2 linked regions of the Notamacropus eugenii genome follow. Each later gene encodes a partner of the first gene's protein in a complex. Links are inferred from orthologs where the notes say so. Each region holds a gene or a part of one and is shown in the gene's direction. Other genes may lie near its edges. The genes, in order: AAK1 and PDLIM5.

Evidence for each region.
Region 2: the proteins of AAK1 (region 1) and PDLIM5 are in contact, whole or in part, in a crystal structure (PDB 9F6S), measured with the Homo sapiens proteins. The link is inferred for Notamacropus eugenii from reciprocal best matches to the Homo sapiens genes AAK1 and PDLIM5. Residues at the interface, in NP_055726.4 of Homo sapiens: Asp956, Leu958, Ile959, Asp960, Leu961; in NP_006448.5 of Homo sapiens: Ala12, Pro13, Trp14, Gly15, Phe16, Arg17, Leu18, Phe24, Gln67, Ile70, Lys71.

What each region holds. Positions count from the first base shown.
Region 1 is NC_092872.1:633,957,323-633,968,173, reverse strand, and holds the start of AAK1 (AP2-associated protein kinase 1), read left to right. Parts: upstream 1-5,537; 5' UTR 5,538-5,825; coding exon of another isoform or gene 5,826-5,849; 5' UTR 5,850-5,944; intron 5,945-10,851. Other genes in the region: ANXA4 (annexin A4), read right to left, coding at 5,826-5,849.
Region 2 is NC_092878.1:131,763,296-131,775,074, forward strand, and holds the start of PDLIM5 (PDZ and LIM domain protein 5), read left to right. Parts: upstream 1-7,420; 5' UTR 7,421-7,542; exon of another isoform or gene 7,543-7,593; intron 7,594-8,944; exon of another isoform or gene 8,945-9,045; intron 9,046-11,338; 5' UTR 11,339-11,380; coding exon 11,381-11,476; intron 11,477-11,779. UniProt on the Homo sapiens protein: May play an important role in the heart development by scaffolding PKC to the Z-disk region. May play a role in the regulation of cardiomyocyte expansion. Isoforms lacking the LIM domains may negatively modulate the scaffolding activity of isoform 1.

The sequences.
Region 1 (10,851 bases):
TGTTGTTTTTTTGCCTGTTTTGTTAAATATTTCCAAGTTATGTTTTAGTGTGCTTCAAGTCTCCCTCAGGAGTGTCATTAGCTATACAGAAAGCTATGACCCCTTTGCACTATGCCACATGTCGTCTCATTTCATATCCAGGAAGTCAGTCACATCAATCAAATAATAAAAATGAATTAAGCATGAAGTGCCTATTATGAACAAAACAATGATATTTTTAAAAGTCTGATATGACATAATTATGTAACAGCCGGTTATCTCTCTCCCAAAAACAGATTACAAGAATTTTGTATGCGTGTCCCCCAACAAAACCTAAAACTTCACATATCCAGATGGAACTCAGCCTTTTCCCAAAACTTCAGTCTCTTCCACTTTCCTGTTCTAGTTGAAGACACTGTCACCATTTCAAGGTTAGAACCTCTAACTCATCTCTGACCCTCCCTCTCCTTGGAGATCCCAACACCCACAATCAATTTTTAGCTCCTATGATTCTAGCTCTACTATCTGTCTCATCCAGGTCCACTACAACAAGCAGGATGTTGCAAGACTAGTGTGATAATCTTTCTTCCCTATAATTGATTATAGGGAATCATTGATCATAGTCCTACCTTCTGGATCTATTCAATTCAACACATTTTTTTAAGTTCTTACTATGTGTAAGACACTATGCCTGGTGCTGGGGATATGAAAGGAAACAATCCCTGCCCAGGTAGAGCTTATGATACAATAGAATACAGAGATGAATAAAAAGCCTGAGAGACAGAGTTTTGGGATAACTAATAATTAGGCTAGCTATGATCAATAAATTTTTGGTCAGTGGTTTCTCTAGATAATCAAAGACAACGCCATGGAGATCTTTGAAAGCTTAAATACCTTTGGAAAAGGAGATGCCCCTGACAGGTGAAAATCAACCCTGATTGGTGAACAGTTCAAGAGGGGTGGGTCTATTAATAAGGAGGTAAGCTAAAAGTCTTCCCCTGTTCCTGCTGAGAACGTGGTTACTTGATCACGAGACTCAGCCACTTACAGCAGTCTGGACAAAGGAATTTATCTCTACCCAGACTACTCTGGTTGATTTTCTCCTTGATGAGCTGAGTTCCTCTAGACCGCAATGAAGGGATGCAAGGGTATGGGCTCAATGCTTTGGGACTATAATACACCTAGATTAGACTCTGTAGATCCCTCTAAGCAAAAGTAAGGTCCCCTAATTGAGTGGGGTCCACCCAAGACCATGGAGCATGTACCCCAAGGATTGGGCCAATCTCATCTGTCAGTCTTGTCCTTCAGAGACTGGCTGAATGACCTACAAGGGCTGATTCCTGAATGCAGAAATAAAAAGGAAAAACCTTAATCTTAATTTAATAATTGGTTATTAAAATAATAGAAAAATAATCTTACCCTTCAATACAAAGAAATGAGTGAAAGGAACAAAGGAAAGATCAAATTATTCTAGGAAAAATTGAGAAGACAGGAGGTACTAACAATGAGAGGATCAAGGATAGTGTCTCACAGAGGATGATGGCCCAAGCTCTACCTGAAAGGTAAAGGATTCTGAAAGGTGAAAATGAGGGGGACTGTACTTTAGGCATGGGGAAAACCTATGTCAAGTTATTGAAGCAGGGGATAAAATGTCAAGGCCAGCGATTAACAAACAGCACCATTTAACTAGAAACTAGAATGGGCACAGAGGAATGATATGAAACAAGTCTGGAAAGGAAGTTTAGAGAAAGATTGTAGAGGCTCATAAACATGGGGTCAATGAAAGTTTCCAATCAAGGAGTGATATGGACAGACATGTCTTGGGAAGAATATTTTTGTAGCTTTGTGAAGGGTAGATTAAAGAGGAGGAAAATAATGACACAATTAAGAGACTTTAAATAGTTGAGACATAAGATAATATCTATCTGAGCTAGGTTAATAGCCTTGTCAGTGGAGAGGAAGAAGCAGTTGGGAGAGATATTATGGAATTAGAATGTGGGTGAGGTGGACAATGTGTGCAGGGTGAATCAAAAGCCAGATGGAAAGGGACTAAAGAATGAATTGGTAGTGAGGAAGAAGAGGCAACAAGTGTAGATAATTTTGTTTACAAATTAAACAGTGAAAGGGAGGATATATGCACATCTGTGTGTGAGTGAGAGAGAGAGAGAGAGAGAGAGAGAGAGAGGAGAGAGGTCATCTGCTGAGAGGGTAAGGGGCACTGGGGCCTTAGGACAGAAGATTTGGAATAGTCAACTGAAGGAGTGTGATGATAATTAAATGATGTGAGAATTATGAATAATCTCTCTAAGGGTTAAATTGAGGCATTGAAAGTCACAGTGAGGACAAAGAATAGGTTTGAGAAGAGCTAGGGAGATGGAGAGAGATAAGGTCAGGTGACCTTGATCACAAAGGGGAATTTTAGGAGGCAAGATCAGGGAAGCAGAACAATTTTAAATGATGGGAAGGTCTAAGGTGTAACCAGTCCTGCAGTTAGCTGAAACAAAAGAAGTCAAATCCCTCTTCCATGCCAGCTTGTTGAATATATGAAGACAGCGATCATGTCCTTCAAAGTCTTCTTCAAGAAGACTTTAAATATCCCCAATTCTTTCAACAGCAAAAAAAAGTACTTAACTAATGTTTGGTGAATTAAAAAGTTAAAAAAAAAATCTGACCAGTATTTTGGCAACCACATTACACTGCTGAATCCAATGAATTTTCAGTCAACTAAAATCCTTAAATCTTCTTCACATGAACTTATGTTATTGATATTGATATATAGATATAGATATAGATATAGATTGAGCAGGATAGAACTGAAGACAGAACCTTGCAGAGATTTTAGCAACCTAGCAATTGGGGAGCTGGCTGGCCCACTGGTGCTGAGGTCAGCAGATTCTCCCATGGACAGTTCCACTCCAGAAGGGCAGAAACCACTTGCAGAGTATATGATGGAACACCCAAGCAGAAGGTTCTGATGATAATGGTGAGATTAGTCCACTGCCACTATTCATCAACAGAAGAGTTATATAGGATGTTCAAGGAAGATTGGCACTTCTGGTATGAAGACTTTGCTGAGCCCTTTTCAGGGCTGCTTATCCTCCTTTGGGGTCTACCTAGCACTCAACCCTCACCTGTGGCTCCAAGAAGCTGTTAGTTTGTATTAGCTAAGTTAACACTGCAGTTAACACTGTAGCAAGTTAGAGGGATGTCTGGAAAATGTCATTCACATCCAGAGAAAGAAATATGGAGTCTGAATGCAGATTGAAGCATACTATTTGCTCTCTTTTGTTTTGTTTTCCTTTCTCATAGTTTCTCCCATTTGTTCTAATTCTTTATACAACATAACAATGTGAAAATCTGTTTAGTAAGAATGTGTATATAGGGCCTATATCAGATGGCATGCCATCTTGGATAAGGGGGAGAGGTGGAGAAAATTTAAAACTTGTGGAAGTGAATGTTGAAAACTAAAAATAAATAAATAAATGTATTAAAAAAAAAAGAAGAAGAAGAAGAAGAAGAAGAAGAAGAAGAAGAAGAAGAAGAAGAAGAAGAAATTCTACCTAGTGCTGGTTTTCTAAGATCAAACAAAAAAATCTCTTTTTCACATGAGGTTCTTTCAAATACTTAAAGATGACAATAGTACTCATCTCTTCCACCCCCCTCTTCTCCCAAAACCTTCCCTCTCTCCAGGTTAAAAATCCCGTATTAGAGCCACAAATGCTGATTCTACTTCCCAGAAAAAGCACTACAAAATATTTCCTGGATGACAGCCCGAGAGGTACCCTCAAACAACCTTCTTAATACAAATATAGTAGAGGTAGGGTTGGGGAGTAATGGAGACCTAAGTGGAATCTTGGACCTTGGAGAAAAAGACCCAAAGACAAGGAGACAGAGAGACCCAGGACACCAGCCTTGATAGAGGTTCAACTTCAGGTCATTAGGAGACTGCTGCAGAACAAATACCACTGGAAGGGATAGTGAAGTAGAGACATGCTGGCGAAGGACTCACCTGGGTTATGGTCATCAAGGGAGGAGGCCTGCCACTGATAGCTCCTTATTTTAGTTAATTATTCTTGCTAATTAGGTACTGAGCTCAGTTATTTCTACTTTCAGAAAGTAGTCAATTGCAGGTATCACCCTTTAAATTTCTCTGCTCAAGGGCCTAGTTTTAGTCACTCTACCCTAGTTAAAATTCTGACCCAGTTCCTTCAACTAATCCTTTTATGGAATGATATACAGTCTTTTGTCATCCTGGTCATGCTTCTTGAGACATATTCCATCTTGCATATGCTTTTGTGTGTTTTGGGGTTTTTTGTATATGCCTCTTAAAATATATGATGGCACCCAGAGAATGTAGACTTTGGAGTCAGGCAACCTAGATTCATATCTTGCCTCAGCCTTTTCATACATGTGTGACCTTGGGCAAGTCACTTAACATTCTGGCCGTCAATTTTTTCATCTGGAAAATGAAGGGATTGAACTAGATAACTTTCTACAGATTCTTTTAGCTATGATCTATGATCTTATGTTATCACAGACAATTCCAACTGTGGTCTGACAAGGACATCCAGTCCTCAAAAGTTTTTCTTTCACAGTTTCATAGATTTAGAGTTGCAAAGGACCTCAAAGATTATACTAGATAGAATTATTTAGTATAATCCATTCATTTTTCAGATTGAGAAACTGAGGCCAGAGAGTTTATAAAACTTGGTCATACAGGTACTAAGTGGCAGAGCTAGGGAATGAATCCCATGTCTTCTGGTTCCAAACTCAATGTTCTTTTCTGTTGTACCACACTTTAAAAAACCATCATTTAAAAAGCCAGTCAAATTTTTTTTTAATTCACAAAATAAAACAATGAAAGCAAAATTGATCATCTCCAAACATTCAAAAATCAAAGAATATCTGCTCTAATATTACTAGTTAAGGCAATACATCTAGGACACTTCTTAACTAAAGGTAATAGGTTGTCAACCTTATTTTTTGGGGGGGTGGGAGGAAGAAGGCAATCTGTGTTAAGTGATTTGCCCAGGTTCACACAGATAGTAAGTGTCTGAGGCTGGATTTGACCTCAGATCTTCCTGACTCCAGGGCCAGTTCTCTGTCCACTGTATACCTAGCTACCCTGAATTTATTTAAAAAAAAAAAACAAAACTTCATTATCTTTATTCTCCCTCAAGATTAGCAGTTTTTTTCTACCCTGGTTTCTTCCTTGGTGGCTTGTGTAGAGGCTGAGTCTGGTGAGGATATTGCTGGAGATTAGCTAGAGGCACGGCAATAGAATTGTTGGAAGCTACCTCTCCTTGAATTTTTTCTGCACTCACTTATCAGGGTCCTGGCCAAGACATTCCTAATCCTTCTCTACTAAGAACTCCAGATTTTTTTTTTCTAAATCTAAATAACTTTTACTTCTTTACCCTTTACACTCTTGTTGAAATGGTTGACTACCTGTCCTCCTCCTCATTATGTTCTGCAACCTTAATTATGCTGTCAGCTGCTGCCAGTCAAGTTGTGAGAGAGGTGAGGGCCACAGAAAAAATGGAGCCAGACAAAGCCAGTCTGAAAAGCTCCGAGAGACTCTACAGTTTCCATTGCTCAGTGGATTTGGAAGAAGAGGGGGAAGAAAAAAATCAGACCTTTTCTTCCATTTACATCTCTTAATACCTGCTGCAATTCCATGATGGTGGTAGACTGACATAATGATGGTAGACTACCCTTAAACTCTAACTCTTAGGAAGAAATTCTCCTAATTAAAACAGTCAAGTCCCAAAGAACCTTTTTCAGCACCCCTATACCTACTGAGAGTGGTTATCATTTCCTCCCATCCTCTCCCGATCCTGAGTTACCTTCACCCAGTGGTTTCCTAGCATCACTGTAACAGGACAAATGAAGATGGCATTGTAAACAGAACAATGTTTCCAAGGCAACCACCTGTACAATTCAGAGCTTCTTAACCAGTAAAAAGGTGAGGACTTTCATTTTCCTAGAATCCTCTCTACCTCCCCACCACTCTCTTCCACCTGCTTTTCACCCACCTTACTTCTCATGAATTGTGATGGTATAGGGACATTTTTTAGCCTGTCAACTATAAGAAGTCCGTTTTTACCCTGCTCTCCTTTGGCTGATATTATCAGGAAACACTTGTGCTTGGGGTCATTTTTGTTTTAATTATGAGTTAAATTCTGGATAGAGGTTGCCCATTCATCATTTAGGTGTGGGTGTATGAGATGACTGAATTTATTGTGGAACCGTATATAGTAGTAAAGGTGGGGGCAGAAGGAAATAGAAATTGGAAGCAAGGTGATTGAGAAAATACTTGGTCTTGGATTCAGAATATCTGACTTCCAATTCTGGCTCTGCTACTTAACAGAAACTACATATAGATATGTGTAAAGCACATATTATGTGAAAGTCTTCCCTACTTGTGTGTCCTTGGGGAAATTACATCACCTCTCTAGGCTACTCCTCTCTCATCTTCGCTCTTTCTGTTATAGGTATCACTCACCATCCAGTCACCAGTGTTGTACATTGACATTATCCTGGAGCTTTAGTTTCTCTTCACCCCACATGTATATTCACACATCCAGTTCAAAACTATGCCGTTTTCATTTTGGTTATCCTCCTCATTCCCTTCCCACTGTAACCAGAACTCTGCCCCTGGGACCTTGGACCCCAATAGGTCAGCTCTTACCCTTCCTTGCCCAGAATCAGACTTCCTATTACTTTTCAGTCAGTTTCCTACTAGTCTAATCCCCTGCATCCTTTCAGCTCCCCTTTATGTGTTGCCTTACCTTATTAGACTGTTCACTCCTTCAGGTCAAGGACTATTTACTTGCTTATACTGGTATTCTCATCACTTAGCACAGTGGCAGACGCAGAGGGGTATGCCAGAACCAGCCTGAGAGCCCCTGTGAGCTGACTGTTAAATTTTCGCTAATATGATTATTGAATGTCTTTTATTCATTTATTCTTTCAAGTTGATGCCAAATATTGTCATTTCTCCCTTACATTTTTGACATGTCTTTTTTTCTCTAGACACAGGGCCACAACCCTAGTTTATGCCCTCATCACCTTTTGTCTGGACTGTTGCAAGGCTTCCTAATTGTCTTCCCTACCTCATTTCTTTCCCCTTGCTAATCTGTTCTACATGCAGCTGTGAAATTGATTTTCCTAAAGTAAAGGTCTGACCATGACAGTCCCCCATTCAATAAATAATTACCTCTAGAATAAAATATGTTAGTCTGACTTTTAAAGACCTTCACAACCTGGTGACAACTTACATTTCCAAGGTTATATTATGTATTTGCTATGGTGGACTCCATTAGATTATGCCACTCACTTTAAGTAATATCCCTTGTTAGGTATGAACACTTTTTATTGACTTAAACAATTAGAATTGAGTGTGAACAGGGCCTAAACAGAGCAGGTACCTACCTGCCTCAATCAAAGCCATTTTTTAAAAGACAGGATCATGTCCTAAGGAATTTGCTTAAAGGAAGAAGCTAAGTATGCAGAAGAAAAGATTCTGAGGGTCTAGATTCAAGAGGCTGGCCTTCCAGCATACACCTAAGGAGCGAATGAGCTGTGAAAGAGAAGGATGCTATGTAAGAGAAACATCAGCTCTAGAAAAGTTTGGGAGCAGAGGACTTATGCTAGGAGAAGATCTAAGAAAAAACTGGGCTCATTCCCCAACTTCCCCTCCCAGTCTCTGCCTCACATTCACTATAATATAATCTACGTTTTGTTACACTAATGTTTCTAGTGAATTGAATTTTGTGTCAACTTCAAAGAGGCTGGGGGGTTAACTTGTGCAAGATATAAACGTAAACTTTGGTTAATATATTAGGAGTTTTCCAAACTGGGGGCTCAGAGTTATTGTGATGGAACTCAGAACTTTTCATCTAAAATCAATTCCCTATTGTTGGAGAAGAAAACTCCTGGACCTTAGGAACCTAAATTGGATCACTCCAGGTTTAAAACAAACTAATTATTATAACAGGGCAGTACTTACTATGATGTGGCCAAACTAATCGTGCAGTTCTTCATATGTGACATTCCATCTTCCATCTTCATATCTTTTCTTGAGTGTGGTCCAGGTATTTCCTCTCTCTTTACCTTCTCCTCTTTGAATTTCTTGTTTGCTTTAGAACTGCTCAAAGACCACCTTCTACGTGAAACCTTTCCTCATTCTCCAGTCACTAGTGTCCTCTACACACACACACACACACACACACACACACACACACACACACACACACACACACACACACACATTTTACCTAGTATTTATTCTGTGTATACTTTTTTAATGTCTTAATTATGTACTGATTGTCTCTCTTATAGAATATAAACTTCTTGAGGACAAGGACTATTTCATTTTTTGTTTTTGAATCCCCAGTGAACAAGAGAGTGCCTGAAACAGATACTTCATAAATACTTGCTCATTAATTAATTGATTTCCTTATCTGTAAAATGAAGGGATTGGACTAAATAATCTCTAGGGCTTCTTCTAGCTATAAATTCTATATCTTTGATTAGCTGCAGAATCACATGTGATAATTGATGTGGCTTAGGTATGCCTTGGTAGGTGTCTTTGGTTTCCTCTTTGAAACAGCCATCCATGATGGGCTTATAACACAGCTTTCCACAAGTTAAACAAAAGTGGATACCCCTTAATTATTTGAGTAACTGGGAAATATATATTTTGACCACCAGGTGGCAATACCATCAAGCCACCCACCTAGTGGTTTTATCAGTAGGTATTTAGTGAACATGGGCTAGTTTTTCCAAAGGTAAAAGTATCCTATATGGCAATTGTTCATAAATTTTCAGACCACAACCCACTCCCACCACACCAAGTTTCTTTGGGCAATTTGCCCCCAATTCAATATAGATCTACATGTATGAACATGAAATATACAGTAGTTCTAAAATATTAAGATTGTTGGAAACCTCTAATTACTCCTGTTGAGGGAATTTGGGAAATCTGTTCTTGTTGACCAACTGAGATCCAGACAACTGACTTTTTAGCTACTACGTGATTTATTAAAATATGCAAAGAAACTATCAGATAGCAAAATTGTAAAGAAGCTATTTAAATTGATCTACTAATCCTGATCTCCCCACTTATAGAGGAGGAGGACAGGAGGGTAGAATAAAGGAAGGGTTCATGAATTTGGCACTCATTGAGATTTAAAATAGCACTGCCTTTGGAATTCAATTTTTTAAAATGTACGTTTAAAATTAATTTTGCACGTAATTGAAAAAAATTTTAAAGAAGGAGTAGCACTGCCTCTGAAGTCAGAAGATCTGAGTTCAAATCCATACATCTGATGATTACCACTTAACTTCAGTGGACATCAGCTTTCTTCCTCTATAAAATAAGAGGGTTAGAGGGGTTTTTAACCTCGGGCTCAATAAAAAAATTTTTAATAACTGTATTTCAATATAATTGCTTCTTTTGTGATCCTGTGTATTTTATTTTATATATTCAAAAATATTTTGAGAAAAGACTGCCCAAAGCATCTGCGACACAGGAAAGGTTAATAATCCCTGGCTGAGTATAGTGGTATACTCCTGTAATCCCAGCCATCTGAAGACTGAGAGTGGTGAATCTCTTGAGTTTCTGTGGACTATGCAGATCAGTCCGTGCTAAATTCAGCATTAATATGATAAGCCTCTGGAGTTGGGGGTGGGGAGCACCAGGTTGCCTAAAGTTAGTGGTGTACTGGTAAATATTTAACAACTTGTCCTCCCCCCAAAATGTACAAATGATATATTTTAAACTTTATCTGCCTTATTCACATTTCTCCATCACTTTCCGAAGTCTAGTTAAGCAGTGTCTAACTCAAATAGATAACTGCAAAGGATCCCTGCTGCCCTCTGACTTGAGAACCACATATTAGCATTATCTGTGTTCTGTTGTGTTTTTATTTGTTTTGTTAAATATTTCCCAGTGCATTTTAATTTAGTTCTCCCTGCGCTAAGGAGTGCTGAAGGGCATATTTGACCCCTCTGATCTAGACTAGTAGTGTCAAATTTAAATAGAAATGAATTGTGATTGACTGTGGTTGACTCAGAAAAACACCAGTTAACATTATGTTGCATTGTGGAGCACTTGGCCTGGAGTGAGGACGACCTGAGTTCAAATGTGACCTCAGATATTTACTAGCTGTGTTACCCTGGGCAAGTCACTCAACCTCCATTTGCCTTAAACCACTGGAGAAGGAAAAGGCAAACCACTCTAATATCCTTGCCAAGAAAACTGCATGGTCCACAGGGTCATAAAAACTCAGATACTATTAAACAATAGCATTAATAATATGTTGCATTGTATTTTAAAATTTATTTTGTTAAGCATTTCTCAGTTACATTTTAACTTGATTCTACAAAGGCTGGAGTGTTGCCCTTCTGGTGACAATTAACAGAAGAGTAGATCAGGCCCTGACCTGTGGGTCTGGCAGTTTCTGAGGTGTAAATGCTCATACTGAAAACTTCACAATAGCTCTACAGGGTCAGATGTGGCTCCAGCACACACCCCTGTAAAGCAAACTGTCTTGGGTCAGAAGCAGAGCAGGTTAAAGCTCATGTGCCAATCAGTGGTGAGAAAGGCCTGTGAGCAGCCTCTGCATGTGCAGCCTGAGCAAGATGGGATCTGAAAAAGCAGCAGCAGATCTGGACCAAACAACCTCTCCGATTCCTTCCAGCTCTGGCTCTGTGAACCTATGCTCTTATGAGATTGGCTCAGTGAAAAACTGGAGAAAGGAGGAAGATTGTTCTTCTGCCTGAACTTATCAGTGACTCTGGTTTCACAGCAGCTGCTGGTCCAGTTCAGTCTTAAGCTAGTCAAGTATCTTCCATATCACCGAACTT
Region 2 (11,779 bases), on another chromosome or scaffold:
CTTGAGTCTGAGGGACTGGAAAGATGGTGTTGCCCTCTACAATCATACAGGATTAACAATTGGCACAAATCATCCTCCTCTTACTCTTCCTCATCCTCCACAACTCCAGGGTTACTCTTTCTTTTCACACTCTTCTCCCTGGAGAGGGAGAATGGACTTAAACCTGAAGTATATGTAGAGAACATATGTAGCAAAGGGTAATTCCTGGATCTGGACTGTATTTTCTCCCTTAATGGAGGTTTCATGCAAGTGCCCACAAGTGTAGCCTACTGCAGGGCTCTGAATATCAGTGCTGTTCTAGAGGTCATAATCAGCAGCTCATTCATCATAAAGGGTCACAATCCCTTCAGCTTCTGCTATCCTCCAGGTACTATGTCCACATCTGTCTGTAGGTTCATTCTCTGTCATTGATCTCTGTATCCAAAGGATTCTACTACCAACTCCAGTCACCAGTGAGATCCTGCACAGAACTTGTAGGTCTCTTGAACTCATCATATAACCTGGTATTTCCCATCTTGAAATACTAATTAGCCTATGATAGGGAAAAGATAAACACAAAAGAAACAGAGGTACCATGTGTTCACAGATAAATGGTGGGTAAGTGGGAGATAGGGCAGTCACACTTTGTGCTGTTTTCCCTACCCCCACTCACCTTCAGGCCAAAATAACCTTCCTTATTTGCAGTAACCAAGCAAAAAGAACTGAAAGATGGGTAGGTCTCACTTTTGTATGCACTCTGCCCTGGCTCAGTAACTTGTGAGTCATCAGTCTGTCTGGTTCTGCAGCCAATTAGAAGACTTTGTCATCCCATAGCATTAGCCCTTCAGCTAGTCATGGCTAGAATCCTGTTCCTCCTATATTTCCACATGGTTGCTCCAACTGAAACCAGGCAAGGAATATCTGTGAATGCTTCAAGGACAGTCCCCTTCTCACTCCCACCTTTCATAGACCAGTTCAGCCCTATTATTGAATGCAATTGTAAACACTCACTGCAGTCTTTCCTTCTCATAATTAAACATTCCTGTTATTTTTGTAGCTGCCACAGGAGAATTTTGAGTCATGCATAAAATAATAAAATGTTAGAACAAACATTTGCATTCTTACAAAAACATTGTTTTTAGGTAGAAAATACTCTTAAAATATATTCTTGTTAACCTAGTTAGTCTATAGGGAATACTTTCTGTTATTTGAGTTTTTCCAGATTTGTGTGGTAAATTTTAAGGACTTCAAAGAAGTTTACTGGTTTGCCATCTGCACTGGTGGAAGGAGTGTCCACACCAGTGAGCTCGTTAGGATCCACTGGGAAATGTTATTTTAGTTGTATTTATGGTTCAATTGATTATTTAGTAAGAGCATGAAAATAAAGAAGATGGAACTAGTTTGATTTCCATTCATTCACTGAATTCATTCAACAAACATGTACTCAAACAACAAATACTAATCCCTTGCTTTGTGCAGAGTACTTTGCTAGGTTCTAGGGGACGCAGAGTTTAGTATCATAGATGTAGAGTGGAAAGCGACCCTACAGGTCATCTAAAGATTATCTAGTCAAACATACCCCTTTACAGATGAAAGATTTGAGACAGAGACATGATAGTGTCATTCATTTAAGGCAGGGAGGTGAGCAAACTGAGGCACAGAGATGATAAGTGACTTGTCCAAGGTCATGCAGGTAGTAAGCAACAAAGACTCCAGAGTTATCACTCTTTCTGTTATCACACTGAGAGGTTAGGTAATTATCTAATGTCACACAGGTAGTTAAGTGGCAAACCAGGGATTTGAACACTCAACACCAAATTCAGCACTCTGCCCATGGCATCATACACCACTGTATCCTTGTGAAGTTTTTCAGTCAAGTTACTACCACCACCATACCTGGCTTCTACTAATGTACTACAAAAGTGTCTGCTTTCTGCTAGGTGATCACAAGGTGGTGAGAGGGTAAGAGTACGTTAAAGACTGTAACTGATGGTGGGGAATTCCAATTGTTTACACACCCTATGAAGTCTAACAGGTTTTCCCTATTTAGCAAGTCTAAATGGGAATGGGATTGGAAAGTGGTATTAGAATATCTTCTCTGAAGGGGGACTCAAAGAAATTTCAGACCCTGAACCCTAAGGTATTGGTTGAGTTCTCCCATTAATCACCTACAGGGAGTCCACCCAACATACTAGAACCTTCTTCTGGATCTCTTGATATTGTGTGGCTACCGGTCGAGCACATGGTCTATCAATGGTCCCCCCATCTTGCCTCATGACCAACTCTCCTTTTCAGATTGTACATCTCTCTAATTTCATCTTCAATAATGCTTCTCTAGAGAAATTCTTGGTTGGCAAAGGGTTGTGGCCTATTCTCATCTACCATGCACCTCTCCCTTGCCCTTGGGTGGACCCTCAACTTTAATTCTTCGGAGACCTTGATATTCCATGACTCACAGTTATGAGACATCACTTGAATATTATTTTAAAAGATAGGCTTTTGTTTCAGAAAAATCTCTGAATCATTAAAAATACCTCATGGATATGGTGGGGGGCAGTGTCCATGGGTCTAGAAAATTATATACATGTCAAATTTTCCCTAGGCATTGATTAGTTTTGCTGATTGGTTTTTTTAGTAAAATTTAAAAAAGACACTGTGTGAGGATGGGATTGGGAGTGGAATCAGGCACTGAATGCCTGTCCTACGTGTAGAGTAACTCCTATATGGATGTGCTGCATTTGTGTACAGAGCCTAAGTTATTACCTAGAGACCTAATATTTTCATCTTCCTCAGGCACCAGAATATCAGAATTATTAAAGATATTGACCCTCTGAGAGTGAGAGGCAGGGAGTCTTCACTCCTTCTATACTCAGCCATCATACCCCTAGAAGGGAGGGGGTCCATTGCAACTGGTCCTTCTATGGTAGACACATTCCCAGATTCTAATACTCCTATTCCTGTGCTTCAGGATCAGCAAACACTGAGGCAAAAAACTGTGCTGTCTCTTCTCTTTCTCTATACTTCTGTGCCTCTTCACCTCAGCCCTACCCCATGAACAGCTCCATTAATTTCAGCCTACCTTTTTGCCTTCATATTCTGGAATTCTCACTTTTATTGGGAAGAAACTTCTTTCTGTTTTAGGGCTCCTCACTTTTCACATTTTCTTAACTTAACAGAAAGATGGCTTTCTTTTGCTAGAATAATCCTCTTCTTCCTGCTCTTTAACTATTGGTATTCCCCAAGACCACATCCTAGGTTCTCTTTTTTTTCTTTCACTATTCAGTCTTTCTCTAAGTGATCTCATTAGCTCCCATGTATTCAGTGAGCATCTCTATGCACTTGACTCCCAATCGACAAATCGACAAATATAAACCCCAGTCTTTAGAGTCCTACATCACCAAATGCATATCGGGCATTTCTCGTTGGGTATCTGTCCCAAAGGCACATCCAAAGCAGAACTGATCATTTCTCCTTCCCCTCCCCCTTCTTCCTAACTTCTCTATTTCTGTCAACAGTACCATAGTAGTAACATGGATTTAAAACTGAAAGGGACCTTAAAGGTAGCCCAAACCCTCATTTTATAGATGAGGAAACTGAAACACAGGGAGGTTAAGGAGATGGGATAGTTAGACAGATAGATACAGATATAGATATGTGTGTATGCACATATGTAATATAATATAACAACATAATAAATATAATGTAACAATGTAATTTAATATAACATAGTTTAATATATATTATGTTTATATATCATATATAATTTAATATACATTACATATTAATATATAGTTATATATAACATAAATATATTATATATAATATAAATATATAATGTAATAAAATATGTAATATAAAATTATAACTATATATAATATTAAAAATATTATATATATAAAATATAATTTAATAACATACCATAATATAATACAGTATAGTATGACATGATATAATATATGATATAATATGATATGATATATTTGTGTAGTCAAATAACAGATATGTTATCTGAGTCAAGATCTGAATCCAGATCTTTCTGATTACAAGTCCAGTGCCCTAGTCCACAATACCATGCTGTCTCCTTCCTCTTGTAATCACTCAGGAGCCCAGCCTCTCTATTATCCTCCCCAAATCACTCTTTCCTAGTCTGCATATCCAATCAGTTGTTGAATCCTGTCAATTCCACATATACAACATTGTTCATATCACAATCACTACCTTCTTTCAGGTCTTCCATCAGTTCTTACTTGGACTATTGCAATCACTTCCTAATTGGTCCTCCTACCTCCCTTCTCTCCCATCTCTAATCCATCTTCCACATCGATGCCAAAGTCATATTCCCAAAGCCAAGTTCCAAGCATGGGACTCCCCTGCTCAAAAAGCACCAGTATCTCCCTCTTACTTAAAGAATAAAATAAAACTCCTCTGGCTTTTAAAATAATTCACAATCTGGCTTTAATCCATCTTCCATTTTCATTCTCCAAACTCTCCGTCACTTATTCTAGGTTCCTGCTCAGTTGGACTATTCTGCATTTGCCCAGGCTGTCCCCAGGCTGGGTTTGCACACTGCCTCCTCACCCCTATCTGTTAAGATGTCTAGCTTCCTTCAAGGTTCAAGGTTCAGCTTAAGTGACAGTTCCTAAACTAGGGTCCATCTTGACTCCATCCCCTTTTGTTCTGCCTTCCTCCTAAATGCTATTTTATAATTTTTTACATATTTATATTTCTTTACCTATGTGGATGTTGAATCCCTTCAATTGAATATAAGCTCCTTGAATTCAAGAACTGTTTCATTTTTGTCTTTGCACCCCTAGTCCCTCTCAAAGGATATGGCACATAGTACCTGCTCAGTGCTTCTTGAATGAATGAATGAATGAATGAATGAATGAATGAATGAATGAATTGCTTCAAGACTATGTAATTTAACCTCACATCTACACATGGCTTTAAGGTCTGCAAAGTGCTTTTCTCCCAACAGCTCACTGACATACAGAGTACAAGTATTTCAACTTCCATTTTACAGGTTAGGAAATTCGGAGTTTAAGCGATGCTGAGGTCTTCTGACTCCAAGTCCTTCTGTAACATATCAAAATATCCAAATGCAAAATTATTTAGGCATTAGCCACACTTATTCACACATTTAGACACATGCTGCTCTTTGGCTAGATATTGGGCAGCACTAAATAAATATCCGTATAGAAGCTGGGAAATAAGTTAGTAATTCAGACAAAGGGAGGAATTAGTGACTTGAGCATAGCACCAAGAGAGACCACCAAGCCTGCCTCTGATTTCTACCAGCTGTGTATTCTCAGACTTCTAATGTCTAAAACTGAAATAGTAATGCTTGTAGTATCTAACTCACAGAGCTGTCCTGAGACTCCAAGGATAGAGCCAATAAAAAAGATTTTATTGAGTACCTACTGCTAGCACTGGGATGCTCAGCAGACTCAAAAGTGAAACAATATTTGCTCTCAGGCAGTTTATACTCTACTAGGGGAGACTATATTGCTATCCACACGTAAATCAACAAAGGAAATTTATATTTTGCCCCTTTGAAGATCAGCAAAGTTCTTTCCATACCATGATGGATCTGTGATCTCATTCCCTCCAAAAATGCATGTCAGTCTTGTGTATGTGTATGTTAAGAGAAAAGTAAAGCATATATCTATGTGTAGATATAAGAAGAGGGACTGGCATGTTATTTCATGAGTAAGGTAAGGTAATTCCCTCTGTTGTTTCAGGTTAGCATCTTTTATGGAATTTACAGCCCTGAGAAACACCTCCAAGCCTAGGAGTCATCCTCCACTTCTCACTCTCACCCCTTCATATCCAATATTTTGCCAAGGCCAGTGGATTTCATCTCTCAAATATTCTTCTCTCCTCTTACTGTCACCACTCTGGTGCAGACCCTGATTACCTCCTGCCTGGACTCTTCAACAGCCTGCTAGTGGGTCTGCCTGTCTTTCTCCACTCCTATCAATCCTCTATTCAGCCACTAAAGTGATTTCCCCAAAGCACAGGTCCCAGGATGTCACCCCTTCTATTCAATAAACTTCAGTGGATCGTTTTTACCTCCAGGATCAAATACAGAATCCTGTCTGGCATTCAAAGACCTTCATAACTAATTCCTTTTTCCCCTTTCTCCCAAAAAAAAAAAAAAAAACCCCTTTCCAGTTTTCTTCTGTTTTTTCTAGTGAGACAATCAAAGTTGACTTGCCTTGAGTCACACATCTCTGAACCATTAAGCATCTGAGACTGGATTTGAACTCAGGTGTTTTTCTCCCTCTGGGGCCAGTACTTTATCTACCAAGCCGCCTGGCTGCCCTCCTTTCAGTCCTCTTACACCTTACCCTTTCCCACCATTTTCTCATCTCTTCATCCACTGACACTGCTGTTCCAGAACCAGATCTCTAGCATTTTCTCTGGCCGTCCTCCATACCTGAAATGTCCTTCCTCTTCATCTCTGCCTACCGGTCGCTCTGGCTTCCCCTCAGTCCCAACTCAGACCCCATCTTCCCACCTTCTACAGGAAGTCTTTTCCCGCGTCTCAATTCTAGCGCCCTCCCTAATTAGTTCTCACTTATCCTATATAACTTGTTAGTACATATTTGTTTGCTTTTCTCCCCCGCTGAGCCCCTAGAGAACTGGGACTATTTTTTTCTGCCTCTTTTTCTTCTCCAGAGCTTCGCCCAGTGCCTAGCACATGGTGAATGATTAATAAAGGTTTATTGACTGTTATTGTCTGAAAATCTAAGCGATTTGCCCAGGGTCAAAGGCTGGACTAGATGCTGACCAGGTCTTCCCTGATCAACTCTACCCACTCACTACTTCTCATATCTAGGGAGTATATGTATTTGTAATATAATGTTACGTATTTTCCATAAATGATACGAGGCCCTTTTCAAGCTATACAGTGTGATACAATCACCAGCGATCGTTATTCTCCCAGATTTCTTCACTCCTGGGGGAAGGTGGGGGGAAGAGGGGAACTGTCACCCTTTCTTCATCTGAAGTATGGGATTCCTGGCCTTTTCCTTCATTGAAAAGATACTGATTGTACCAAAGTTCTATGAGCACACTGGAATCTCCTGTACTATATAGGAGGGGATTCCCTGAACTCGCATGGCTGGGGAAATCTTAGCCATCGGCATTTCCATTTTAGTAAAAATTTGATTACTTTATAAATACAAGACATACAGAGAAAGAAACAGAGCTGCGGAGGAAATGGGAATCTTTGCGATGTGCCACTCTGGTTTCCGAGGTAGGAAGGCTGCGCTTCAGATGCCCCTGGCCACCTTTCCCCTCCTGGAAGGCTTTTTCCTAGCGCAGCTATTTTCCCTGTCCATTTTCCCTATACTGGAGACACACTTCCCGATCCCTGGAGGGGAGTGGCCCCGGGAGCCAGCAGGGCCGAGGACTTCCCCCCTGGGCCGGGACGTGGGAGGAGCCGCGGGAGAAAGTGGAGGCGGAAGTGCCCGCTAGGAGCCTGGCTCAGCCGCCTTGGGAGTCCGTCACTTGTCAGCGCTGCCCCGCGCCTGAGACAGCGCAGCTCCTGCCCTGTGGGTGAGTGCCCGAGCCCGGCTCCCGGGAGGACTAGCGGTGAATACCCTAGAAGTGAGGAGGCAAGGGAAAGGGGAGGCGTGGAGGAGGACAGAGGCGCGAGCGGTCTCAGTCCCGCAGCGGTGCGGGGTCCTCAGGTGCTCAGCCAGGCTCCGGCGCCAGCGGAGAGCCTTGTGCCCTCCGGAGCGCATCGCGCCCGAGCTGGCTGTGGAGGGAGCGCGGGGAGGTGGCGCGATCACCGGCAGGGAGGGCTGTGGCCGCTGCCCGGGGCCCGGGGGCGGAGAGGGAGGGGCCGGCGGCTACCGTTTGGGGAGGCTCGGTGGGAGCCCGCTAGGGAGTGGGAGCGCGGGCAGGCGGGCGAGAGGCGGCGGCGGCGGCACCTTCGCCTACCCAGCCCAGCCCTGCCCAGCCTAGCCTTCCCGAAGCGGAAAGAGCCTCCGGGCAAAGCCCCAGAAGCCTCCCCCGCTCGGCTGTGCCAGCCGGTCAGCCTGTCAGCCCGCCCGCAGCCATTGGCTCCTGGGCACTGCCTTCATTTACACTTTTTGCTGATTATTTTAGTGGGTATTTCTCTTCTTGGGGGTGGGGGGTGGGGAGAGCAGGAGGTTGTTTATTTCCTTTCCTTTGAAATACACATGCACATGAATCTGTCTCCGAGAGTTGCTTTTCTTTTGCAAAAGCGAATTATTTACAGTTGTGTAACCTGTTTGTGGCCAGTTCCAGCTGAACCGGCAATAAAGTAAATCCTCATTAATAAATTTTGAAAATACAAGCCAGTAAGGAAGCTCCTTGAGGTCAGAGGCGTTCAGTTTTCTCCCTATTCCCAGGGCCAGACAGAGTGCCTAGCATTTAATAAATGCTTTTTGCACTAGTCTGAGCTACAAATGCTTTTTTTTTTTAAGTATTAGGTATTTCTTTTTAAGACTTTGTCTTTGACAACAAGTGGGAAAAAATAAAAGGGTAGAACGAGGCCGGGAAGAAATAAGTGCTCAGAAAACAAACTCATAGCTAAGCTGGGTTGGGCAGGTTTAGGGTGTGATCGCTCGATCTGATCCTCGGGTTCAAGCTTCCTGACTGTCAAGGCGTCTGAAACCAGCCAGCTCCTGCGCCTTATTTGGCCAACAGGGAGAAGCGGGAGCCTGCCTTATGGAAAGCTGCCTGGCCGACCTCTTTCATCCTGTGCCTGTAGCTTTTTAGCCCTTCAGCTGTAACCTCCCGTGTTCTTAACTCTCAACCTGTCCTAGGAGGTGTTTTGGTAGAGCAATGAGTTTTTCTGTTTGGATCGTTGTTTATTTTCATTACCTTCTGGTAAATGGGAGGCTTTTTTTTTCTTCTTAAAAGACAGCTGGAATACTGGAAGTGTGTGGGATAGATACTAAGCTTCCTGTGTGTGTATTGTTCCTTACAGGCTGCAGCCACTTTACAGATTGTTTTGACTTCCCAAAGAACCCAGATCCATACGAAATCCAACATTTTTTACATTTCTAAATTTAAGTTCCTGTCTGCTGGGTATGTTAAGTTTGGGGGGAGTTGTCATATGATGGTTTTCATGATACTCTGAGAAATTCCAATAGTAATAACAAGACTTAAATATATTTTAAGGTGAGCAAAATATGGAGGAAAATACAGAAAATAAAAGTACAAAGCATATCTTCTTTGACATTGCTGGTACAAAATATTTAACAGTGAAGGAGAAAAAAAGGAAACCTTAGATTAACTAATTGTACGCGTTTATATTCACATTACATGAGTTTTCATGCAAAGAATATTAGAGGTCAGAGGAAGTTGAACCAATTGGAGCTATTTGTACCTATAAAATACAGAGTCAGTTTTTTACGTGGTGGGGAAAGACGTCAGCATGTGGTTTCTGAATTGGCATTGCCATCTTTCTTTAATCAATGCAAAGAATTTCTTTTTTAGAAAGGGGAAAACACAAGTCATGTAGCTCTGCTTACTGCTTTTTGCAGTTAGGAAATATTCTCATATGTGCTAGAAATTCTTCCAGTTATATAGGGAGCCTGCTCTTTAACCATTTAGGCATTAATTCAGCATTACTTCCCTGGGGGGGAAAGTAGTCTAAAATCCTGTAATCTGTAACCTAGTTTCATCTACTTAACTTTGATCCATGGCTGGGCATCTTCCAAGATTTCCTTGTATTTTCTGCTGTCTTTTCCTTTATGGAAAGCAGAAGCTAGTATGAGGTAGATAGGCAGTTTTTGGTTTTAGGACCCTCAGTGATTCGTATTTGTAACTGTGATTATGAATATGTCATAGATACAGAAATTTAGATCTCTTGAGATCCTGAAAAAATATTTTAGAAGTGACTGTCAAAAATATTGTAAATGCTTAAAATTGATCAGCAGTCATCACTACAAGGGAAGTGACTATCTATCTAACTATCATCTATCTATCTAGATATAGATATATGTATTTATACACATGTATATGTATATATGTAAGTACACACACACATATATACACACACATTCACACACATTTTTCCCTCTCATTTTTAAAAGTTTCACATGGTTGCTTTAAAAAAAACAATGTGGCTTAAACCTTTCCCTACTCCCAAATAATCATATAAATGTGCAGACTTTGTTTCTGTAAATTCAAATGCAACATAGGGCTAATAGTGGTTTAAACAGGGGCACACTGGAAAGCATTTTATCTTGTAGGTTATGATTCTCCCATAATTTCTATATTAGGCATCTGGCATCTGTTTTATAGTAATCATAGGATCATGGAACTGGCAAGATCTTCAAGGTCATCAAGTCTAAGCCTTCACCCTACTCCCCCCAAGACAGTTGGGGTTAAGTGACTTGCCTAGGGTCACACAGCTAGTAAGTGTCAACTGTCTGAGGCCAGATTTGAACTCCAGTCCTCCTTACACTAGGGCGGGTGCACTGTGCAACCTTGTGCTCTCCTCCCCCACCTTACAAATGAGGAAACTGAGGCCCAAAGGAGTTAAGTGACTTGTCCACTTTATGCACACTGCAATAAGTAGTGGAGCTTGTATTTGAAGTCAGTCTTCTAGCTTGTGGTAGATTGGGATGCGCTCTTAACCTTTCCAAAGACTTGCATTCCCTCTCATTTTCTCTCTTCCCCCTCCCTTCCAAGACCCTGACAAAAATGTCACACAGCATTGCCTATTTGGGAGGAAAATTGCTGTAGACTTTGACAGCAAAATCCTGAAAACACAATGGATTGCAACATATAGTTTGTTAATTGTAGTTTTTTAATGGAAAACAATTTGAATGAATTTAGTATTTGAAAAGCAGGGTACTGAATCCCTCAGATTTACAGGCTGTAGTATCCTCACAGGTGTTACGGGGAACTCAGAATAACGTCGAACTGAAGGCTTCTTGCCAACTATAGTCAAAAGAATGAGGTGGATGTGTGTTAGGAGATCATCTGAAATTAAGTCTGAAATAGTCTTTCTCTTTTCAAATATGCATTAAAAGAAGACTGCAAAGCACTTTTCAGTTACAATTTTATAAAAGAAGCCACATGGAATAAAATTGGATTTCAGCAAGTTGTAAAAAATGTTCATGTCTAGAAATATATTCTGGGGTGGAATTTTCATATTATGGAAACTGGCAGACCTGTAGTAATTACATTTAAACCCTTGGATCCCTTTTCTTAGATGGAAATTTATGAGAGTTTAATATCACTCCCATTTTATACACACACACACACACACACTCCTAAACATTATTATGTTTCTTTAAAATAGACTACTTAAAGATGACTTAGGTTTTTCAATAAGCCTTTTAAATAGTTATTTAATTCTCCTTCATAGGTGCTTTTATTACCCAAAAGTAAACTTTGAACCACAAGAACCATGAGCAACTACAACATCTCCTTGGTTGGCCCAGCTCCTTGGGGCTTTCGACTTCAAGGTGGCAAGGACTTCAACATGCCTTTGACCATCTCTAGTGTAAGTATATTTTTACAGCTTTTAAACAAATGTTCATTGCATCATATGGTACTTAATTGGTAGAAAGAAGTCTTTCTGTGAATGAAACCATGTATTGAATATACCCACCATTCATACTGTAGAAGGTTTGTCTCTCATGACACGGACATACAAGTTATCAGCTATCCAGAAAGAATGATGAGGGTAAAGAAATACACAGATTTCACCAAGTCACCATTTTTAGTGATCAGTTTCAATTTTTGTCCCCAAACATCTTATCTGAGGCAAAAGTGTTACTTTACACAATAGGAAAGACACTGGGCT